Oryctolagus cuniculus: one gene and its partner. The main gene of each other region encodes a partner of the protein of the gene in region 2 in a complex. Links are inferred from orthologs where the notes say so. Each region holds a gene or a part of one and is shown on either strand. Other genes may lie near its edges.

Region 1 (4,543 bases), on a different chromosome or scaffold from region 2:
CCCCGCCCGCCCTACACACACGCGCACACCCGCACACGCGGTCACACAGGAAGGAGGCGTGGTCGCGAGCTGTCCGCGGGTCTTTATTTGGGCGGGCGTTGGGGGCGCTCAGGGCGCGCCCAGCACCAGCAGCTTCTGCATGTAGGAGTTCAGCCACTGGCGGCGCTCCAGGGCGGCCAGCAGCCGCGCGCGCTCCCGGAAAGCCACGTCGTCCGCCAGCGCCAGGCTCCGCCGCGATGCCGGGGTGGCCGGGACCGCCCGGGCCCGCACCGGGATGCGGAGGCTGCGGGGAGACCGGGAGTCGCCGTTACCGCCCGCCGCCGCCGCCGGGCTGACTCGAAGCCCCTCTTCCCCTGGGCGGGTCCCTGTGTGCCTGCACCTGCCGCCCACCCCCGCCCCGCCCCGCCCCGCCCCGCGCTCGGCGCACACGTGGCTCCCGTCGGGCGCCCAGCACGCGCCGCCCGAGGGCCGGATCCGTTTCTGCACCTGCTTTGCTCACGGCCTTTCCCGGTCTTGCTCTCGCCCACTCCCCCGCTGCCCCCTGCCCCGCCCCAACTCTGCCATCTCTGGGTCTCTGCGGCCCTGTCTTTGGGTTTGTGTCCCTTTTTCTGGAATTCACTCCACCCCTCCCTGGAAGTCCTAGGCCTTGCACGCACCTGAGAACCCCTGCGGGGGGCAGGGCGACTCCCGGGGTGGGACGGGCGTCCCCGGGCACAAGGAGCAGCAGCAGCAGCAGCCACACCCGTGGGCTCCTGGACACCTGGCGGGACTCCATCACGTGCGGGGAAAGGAGGGGCGGACGCAGTGAGGTCCGCATCAGCGCCAGAGCCGCCGGACTCCGCCAAGCACCAGCCCCCAGCTGCCTCCCGCAGGGCCCCTACCACAGCGGGCTGGGGCAGCGCCGGCCAGCAGCCCCCTTATATCCCCTCCACGGCCCCCGCTCGGGCAGTGACGCAGGCCCGGGGCTGGGGTGCGAGGTCAGCCGCCCCCCAAGGCTCATTAGGAACAGCCAGCTGTAATGAGAAGCCGGGGGTGGGGGCCTCGCTGCTGCCTTGGCCGCCACCAACTAATTGGGACCCGAGCCGGGACCTGAAGGGAAGAGGGAGGGGGAGAGATGGACAGACTGAGAAGTGGACACAGGGGGTGTGGCCGAGGGATAAAAATAGCGACCATCATAGCAGAAGACAGAGACTGAGAGAAAGAGGGAAAAAGCCACCGAGCCCAGGGACTGATGAGGGACAGACACAAAGAAGACAGAACCCGGAGAGGGAAAGACAAGGAGGAGGAAGAGGGGGAAGCCACGGAGGAAGGGAGAGCGGAGAGGAGAGAGAGGTCTTGAGAAACATCCCGGAGGGAGGGAGTGCCGCAGACGGAGCCCGCGGGGAGACACCGGGCAGACGGGGAGAGACGGGGAGGGGAGGGGAGGCAAGAGGCTGTCCAGGTGTGTGTGCCTGGGGTCGAAAAGACAGCAACATTGGAGGCGCCGCAGAGGGACCGTGAGCAGGGAGCCAGCCCGGGTCCCCTGCGGCAGGAGTGTGGGCATGGTGAAGACAAAAGTGGCGGAGTGAGTGGGGGCCAAGGCTGGCGGTCCTACAGGGGCAGCAGCCATCTGGAGACTTGGGGAGCTGGGCTCCCAGTTCCCCCGGAGAGGAGGGGCCAGGCTCCTAGGTCTGGGCAGGCAGGACAGAGACTCACTCCTGCATTCTGGTGAGGGAAGGCCTGGGCTCCTTGGCCTGTGGGAGGGAGATGAGGGCTCTGCCTCCCGGGGGAATGTAGCAGCCCCCCCTCGACTCTCAGGTTTGGGGGTTTGGGAGTAGGGGAAGACAGAGGGTCGGGACCCCGGGTCCAAATGGAAGATAGCTTGCTTGCCCACATCTCTCCCCAGAACATCCAACTCCCTTTCCCGCCCCCAGAGACAAGGTCCTTTACCCCTGTCCCTTTAAGAGCCTCATCCTGTCGCTAGGCGTCCAGGTTCCCCAGAGAGGGGTCAGGTGCGTCACCTGCGCACCCCTGGGACCCTGCCTCCTGCCACCCTGCCCACAGCCATTCTTGCAGCAGCCGCTGTCCCTGCATCCAGCTCTGCTCGGCGGCTGCATCTCGGCCACACCGGGGCAGGTAAGAGACCCCAGGACCCCCTGCCTCAGCCCCAGGGACTCCACACTCCCAGCTCTGTCCTCAGTGCACAGGGAGAGGGAGGGGTCCGGCTCACAGGTGCGCCTCTTCTCTGCCCCCCCCCAGGCTGGGGAATCCAGACCCCTAGTTCTGGAGGACCCAGGCACCAGGGCCCCCAATTCCCTTAGAACGCAGCACCCACGAATTCCAACCCCCAAACCCTCCTAGCCTGGCTGCCTCAAAATCCTAGGCCCGTGAACTTGAGGGCTCCCAAAGCCTCTGACGAGCCAGGAGGCTCCACCCGCAAGTCCCCTCACCCTGTGGGGTTCAGGAGCCTGAGCCCCCGGCAACCTGCCCGCCCGGGCCCCGGGGGGCCTCTGCCTGCCCGCGGCCAACCCGGGAGTCCGGCCCCACAGCCCTCCTTGGGGCCGCCGCGGATGTCCGAGCTCCGCGGACTGGGAGCCCAGCGGGCTTGCACAGGTGTCATCCCTCCCAATGTTTCCAGGACCCCCTAGGGAGATAGATAAGGCATTAACTACGACTCCCAGGAAGCCCCGCGCCTCGGTCTCCCCGGGCCACCGAGGCCAGCGCCGGGGTCCTCCTGGGGACCGGCGGGCGTGGCTTCTGCGCGTGGGCGGGGCCCGCGCGCCCCTTCGAACTTAACCCCATTCTTCCCGCTCCCCGTCTTAGCTATAGGCACCTCCCAGCCATGAAGCCGTTCCGCTCCGTCCTCTTCCTCCTCGCCTTCCTCCTCGTCCAGCTGGGTTCCAGAGCCGCCCCCACGGCCTCACCGTCTTCCGGCTCCGACCCCACCGCGGTGGGCCGCCCCTCCGAGACCTCCCCTCTGGCTCCTGAAGCGGCCGCGGGAGAGGGGCCCGAGCCCTCCGAGACCGCTCGCGCGGCTGCCCCGGAGCCCTCTGCCCTCGGCTCCACCGAGACGCCCGCGCCTGACCTCGGGGAGACCCTGTTCTCAGAGACTCCTGAGACCCCCTCCCGCGACCCACTCATAGCCCCTACTCCAGAATCCCCGGGCACCCCAGACCCTTCTGAGACCCCCAAACCTGACCCGGCTGAAATTCCACACTCAGCATCACCCGTGGCCTCAACTACCCTTACCCAAACTACACACCCGGAACCCCCAGAGACGCCCAAACCTAACGCCACAGAAATCTCACGTGTGGAAGCCCCAGAGACCCCAAATCCCGATCCCACCAAGACCCTTGACCTCACATCTCCAGAAACGCGTGACCCCGACACCACTGAGACTCCCCAGACCCTGCATCCTGACCCTACTGGGACCCCCAACCCAGAACCGCATGTGACCCACAACCCCGGCCCCACAGAGCTCCCCACAACCCACTCCCGAAATGCAACGGAGACCCCCGTGACCTCTGACCCGGAAATCCCCACGACTCCTCCCCCAGACACGCCTGCAACCTTCAAGGAGGAAGCTACCGCCCTCGGCGAGGCGCACCTGAGCCCCACACCTGACACCCCGGCGGCCACCCAGCCCGACTCCCCGACATTGCCCCCCTCAGAGTCCCCAGGGGCCGTGGAGCTGAAGGCCCCCCAGAACTCTAGCTCCAAAGGGCCTGACACCCCTCCTCCCTCAGCCCGGATTGCCAGCCCCCCTGCTCCCCCAGGACCCCCCAACCAGCGGGCGCCTGCCACTCTCAGGGACCCCCCAAGGCGCAGCCGAGGCGACAGCGTCAACACCATCATCGTGGTGGAACGAGTGAAGGAGACCGGTGAGGGGCTGGCCGGGACGCCCGGGGCCGAGGGAGGAGGCGCTGCGGCCGGCCCCGGGGCCGAGGGAGGAGGGCTAGGAGCTGAGCGCGGTCTCCTCCGCCAGGCGTGACGCTGGTGGGGCGCCCGCGCGGCGCGGGAGGCGGGGCCTTGTGCCTGTTCTTCGCGGGGACCGGGCTGCTGATCGGCATCTTCCTGCTGCTGTGGTGCCTGTACCGCCGCGCGGCTCGGCACCGCCCCTTCGCACACCACCGGCTCCCGGACCACGGAGACGAAGCCGGTGAGAGCCCCGCCCCCGCCCCGACTGCATCCACGTCTCCTGAATCCGCCCTCACCCAGCACCCAAGGGCGCCCTGCCCAAACGGACTGGTCCCTCATATCCAAGGCCAGTAAAAGCCCTGGCCGCCCAGGGAGGCACTGCATCGGGCCTGGAGCCCGCCCTTTCCTGCTTGGTGTGCGTGGCCACGCCCGTGCACTACAGGCCCCGCCCAGATGCACGGAAGCCCCGCCCCCACTTACTGCAGGCCACGCCCCTGCACTACAGGCCCTCCCAGATGCTCGGAAGCCACGCCCTGCATACTGCAGACCCCGCCCAGATGCCCAGAAGCCACGCCCCATGCACTGCAGGCCCCGCCCAGATGCCCAGAAACCACGCCCATGCACTACAGGCCATGCCCCATGTGCT
Region 2 (4,255 bases):
TCCTGGCTTTGGATCAGTGCAGCTCCAGCTGTTTTGGCCATTTGGGGAGTGAACCAGCAGATGGATGATCTCTCTCTCTCTCTCTCTCTCTCTCTGCCTTTGCCTCTCTGTAACTCTGCCTTTCAAATAAATAACTAAATCTTAAAAAAAAAAAACAAAAACTTCTCACAGATTAAATATTATAAATTAGACTGAGAATACAGTAGGGAAAACACTTCCATATTTATGTTAGAAACAATTTAATATTCTAAATGTATACAGTGCTTTTCTTTTCTTTCTTTCTTTCTTTCTTTTTTTTTTTTTTTGACAGGCAAAGTGGACAGTGAGAGAGAGAGAGACAGAGAGAAAGGTCTTCCTTTTTGCCGTTGGTTCACCCTCCAATGGCCGCTGCGGCTGGCGCGCTGCGGCCGGCGCACCACGCTGATCCGATGGCAGGAGCCAGGTACTTCTCCTGGTCTCCCGTGGGGTGCAGGGCCCAAGCACTTGGGCCATCCTCCACTGCACTCCCGGGCCACAGCAGAGAGCTGGCCTGGAAGAGGGGCAACCAGGACAGAATCCGGCACCCAGACGGGGACTAGAACCCGGTGTGCCGGCGCCTCAAGGCGGAGGATTAGTCTAGTGAGCCACTGCGCCGGCTTTACAGTGCTTTTCTATACAGGAAACATTAAATCATCCTTTGCTCTTTCATAGAAAATCATCCTGTCAAATAATATTAATCATAATAGCTAACATGTGTTAGGCATTTTCCCTGCTTGAATTTTTGTTAACTCATTTGATGTTTCCAACAAACTTTTGAGTGTGAGAAATGGAATGGACGTGTGCAGCCCTATGTTGAGGTCCTAATTTTCGGGTGATAGATAGTATTACCAGGCAGGGCCTTTGGGAGGTGATTTGGCCGTGAAGGTGGAGCCCTGGTGAAGGGGTTTTATGACCTTCTAAGAGATCTCTCAGAGTCCCTCACCCCTTCTGCCAGGTGAGGTTACAGCCAGAAGACAGCAAATCCACTAGGTGCCTTCGTGGTGGACTTCCCAGACTGTGAGAAATGCATTTCTGTTGCTTATAATCCATCCAGTCTATGGTATCTTGTTAGAGCATCCAGAGCTAAGACAGGGAGGGTGGAGACCCTCCCAGAGCAGGAGTCTGAACCAGGTCATCTGGCTTCAAAGCACATGCAATTCACTTCTTTCCTCAGGTGGCAAGAGCAGGAGATTTTATAAATAAGGGCCATAATTGGCCAGGAAATACATAAAACAGTCAACCTGTTCATACACTAAGAATTAAAACTAAGACAATAACGTGGTGGCCCCCTTGCCAAGATTCTGAAAAACAATACCGATGAAGGCAAGAGCATGGGAGATGCTTCATCAAGGCTACCGTGGGTTTAATCTAGAAATACTCACGAAAGCCTCAAATTTGAGCACATCATTTAAGTAAAAACCACAGTTAACGTTTAAGACAGTTTTCAAGAATTTACACAAAATCACACATATTCTGGGACAGTCATTAATTGATTCAGTACAGCTCAGTTTAGTAGCCGAGCTGGCTCTGGGGCAGGTCAGCATGCCACAAAGTGGCCCCTTGAAAACCACCTGGCAAACAAATAGACAACCGCAAAAAACCAAAACAATTCTGCCGGAGACGACCAATTTCCTTGAGATGTTATTTTCCCAGGATGAGATCCCTTTATCCTCAAAATCTCGTTTTTCATTTGTAATTGGAGATGGTCAGACCTATAAATATGTGTGTATATCGATCATATCCTAGATACATGATCTATATGACAGGTAGATGCACTGTGAAATAGGACACACACACACACACACACACACACACACTCACTCACTCTCACTCTCTGTGATTACAAGAAAATAAAAAGGAGAATTTGGACCAGCTGCGGAGAGGGCGGGCTGTGGACGGGGCCGGCTCATAGCGCAGGTATCAAGCCCTTCCCCGCACCGTCCGACGTTCCCGTGGCTGACCGTCAGCGCGTGTGTGGGCAGGAAGGGACTTCTGGGCTACCCCCCGGGGGCCCCGGGCGCCCCTGGAGTCTGCGCTGGAACACGGACGGAGCGGAGGGAGCAGAGTCCGTGGAGTTGGCGGCGGCGACAGCAGGGTCTGCGGACGGTGGCCCTCGGGCCCCTGGGCTGCGGGACCGGTGACTCGGAGGAGGAGCGCGACCGCCTCCAGGTGCCCCTGCAGCAGCTAGGGGCGCGCCCGGAGTTCGGGGCTCAGAGTCCGCCCCCTTCCCGCGGCCCCCTCCCGGCTGCAGGTGGCGCGGGGCGGTGAGACGAGACCGGGTTCTTCCTGGAAGACGGCACCGGCCCCGGGATACGGGCTTCGAGACGCGCAGGTTGTTTTCGGCCGCTGAGCCCCGGCCAGTGGCCCGGCTGCGCCTCGCTTCTGGCCGCAAGTTTGGCCGGCGCTGGCAAAGTTGACCACTCTGAAAGCCACTCGCGGGCTCGGAAAGAGGTTCCTGCTTCTCGTTCTGGTCCGAGCATGGCCGGGTCGGCGGTATCGCAGCATATCTGGGCTTGGGTGGTGCTCTGCAGCTGTCTCCTCGTGGGAGCCCAGGTAAGGAGCGGGCGCCCCAGGGCGGGATGGAGGCGAAGGCGCTCGGCGCTCGCGCACCTGCACATCCACGATTACACACCGCACTCCAGCGCTCGGCTGGGCTGGCAGGCGATCCGTGGATCTGCACAGGGGTGCTTCGGACGAGAGCTGTCCTGCTGCACTTGCAAACCAAGGGGGTATTTACGGACTGCAGAGTTCTGGATCGCGAGTGCGAAGCTGGAAGGGAAGGAACTCTTTCTGTTAGACTCTGAGTTCCTCCTTTAATTAAATCCAGATAGTTTTTGCCGGGTGGCAATTTACCATCGCTTTTGAAAACTTCAGCTTCCAGGATCGAGTGTGACCACTCTCCGCCAGGTCACTCGCCGGCCTTCCCTGATAGAGCAGCGCTCATCAGTATTCAAAGCGAGATTAGATGGAATCAGAGCACCGGGTTTCACGCAGCTCAGTTGTTAAGGTTGAGAATAAGCAGTGTCGTCATTTTCATACTGCTAATATCGTGTAGAGATTTTCTGGGCACAATTTCTCAGGGGAATCTCTTTAATGTGGAAGGAACAAAATAGGATTTACAGTCAGCTTTTCTGATGAGCTGGAAAGAGATGCCTGTAGCGATAGGTGTGGATTGAAACCGAATAAAGTTATTTTTCTACCATTACGTAGGGGGCGCACTTTGACCGTCAAAACTGAGCCCCAATTTAAAAACTTCTTTCACTGTCAGATTTTTGAACTGTTGATTTATGAACTGGTATGATCTAAACTTAGTGATGTACTATGCTTTTGGATTTCAGGTGACCAGTGTGAATTTAAATTATTCTAAAATTTCAATTTCTAAATGTCTAAAAGCCCATCTGTCATAGTCATAACGACATAAATTACTACTTCAAAAGGATTTCTATGAAATAGGTGTGCTGCTAAATTCTGGGCTTTACTTAACATGACCAGGATGTGTTGTATAGGCTGATCGTGCTAAAATGAGTTTGTGTATTTTATATTGACTAATTATATTAGCAATGAATACTTAAAAGTAGGGTGCACTCAAACCTGAAAAAAAATCACCAAGTTAATGGGAAGAATATAAATATAAGCAAAAAAATTCCCAAGAACTTGATGATAGATTTCTATGATGGTTCTAGAACTCTGATGGTCTCAAATATCTTACATTTTTATCTCATATTTGGATGCATACATCACTGTCTCCTTGTGTAAGACACAAATGAACCATTTATCTTATTCACTGTTCTGGATTACTTTTTCTAAGGGAATGGGAAGAAGACTTCACTTTGGGATTGCATGCAGAGTATTTTATTTTCCTTTTGCTTTCAACAGAACAATCGGGACACTGAGTACTTTTCCCATGGTAACTTTAAGCCAGACTTTCTCAACCTTGACACTCTGGACATCTTGGGCCTTGTAATTCTTTGTGGTGGGGGTTGTCTCCTACACTGTGGGATATTTACCATTCTTAATCCTTTATCTACCAGATACCGTTGGCATCCCCCTGCACCCTGCTGTGACAACCAAGCATATCTTTAGATTTTGCCAAATGTCCCTTTGGTGGCAAAATCACTCCTGGTTGAGCATCACTGCTTTAAACTGATTTTTTACTTATATCTATAGATGAAGAACTGTATAAGATGACAGTTTGTGATAATGTATTGCACATGTCAACTTTCTTGGCACTTTAAAC

Evidence for each region.
Region 1: the proteins of PTH2R (region 2) and PTH2 are in contact, whole or in part, in a cryo-EM structure (PDB 7F16), measured with the Homo sapiens proteins. The link is inferred for Oryctolagus cuniculus from reciprocal best matches to the Homo sapiens genes PTH2R and PTH2. Residues at the interface, in NP_005039.1 of Homo sapiens: Thr31, Ile32, Ile34, Gln37, Ile38, Asp68, Gly69, Leu70, Ile90, Tyr91, Asp92, Phe93, Met112, Lys117, Ala120, Tyr122, Leu126, Gln130, Pro131, Ser134, Lys137, Gln138, Phe141, Glu142, Tyr152, Arg190, Ile194, Lys197, Val201, Ile205; in NP_848544.1 of Homo sapiens: Ser62, Leu63, Ala64, Leu65, Ala66, Asp67, Asp68, Ala69, Ala70, Phe71, Arg72, Glu73, Arg74, Ala75, Arg76, Leu77, Ala79, Ala80, Leu81, Glu82, Arg83, Arg84, Trp86, Leu87, Tyr90, Met91, Lys93, Leu94, Leu95.

The regions. Positions count from the first base shown.
Region 1 is NC_091449.1:7,981,628-7,986,170, reverse strand, and holds PTH2 (tuberoinfundibular peptide of 39 residues), read right to left. Parts: upstream 2,822-4,543; 5' UTR 818-2,821; coding exon 657-817; intron 284-656; coding exon 109-283; 3' UTR 71-108; downstream 1-70. Other genes in the region: GFY (Golgi-associated olfactory signaling regulator), read left to right, coding at 2,822-3,860, 3,965-4,138. UniProt on the Homo sapiens protein: Plays a role as a potent and selective agonist of PTH2R resulting in adenyl cyclase activation and intracellular calcium levels elevation. Induces protein kinase C beta activation, recruitment of beta-arrestin and PTH2R internalization.
Region 2 is NC_091434.1:31,375,050-31,379,304, reverse strand, and holds the start of PTH2R (parathyroid hormone 2 receptor), read left to right. Parts: upstream 1-1,399; 5' UTR 1,400-2,496; coding exon 2,497-2,571; intron 2,572-4,255. UniProt on the Homo sapiens protein: This is a specific receptor for parathyroid hormone. The activity of this receptor is mediated by G proteins which activate adenylyl cyclase. PTH2R may be responsible for PTH effects in a number of physiological systems.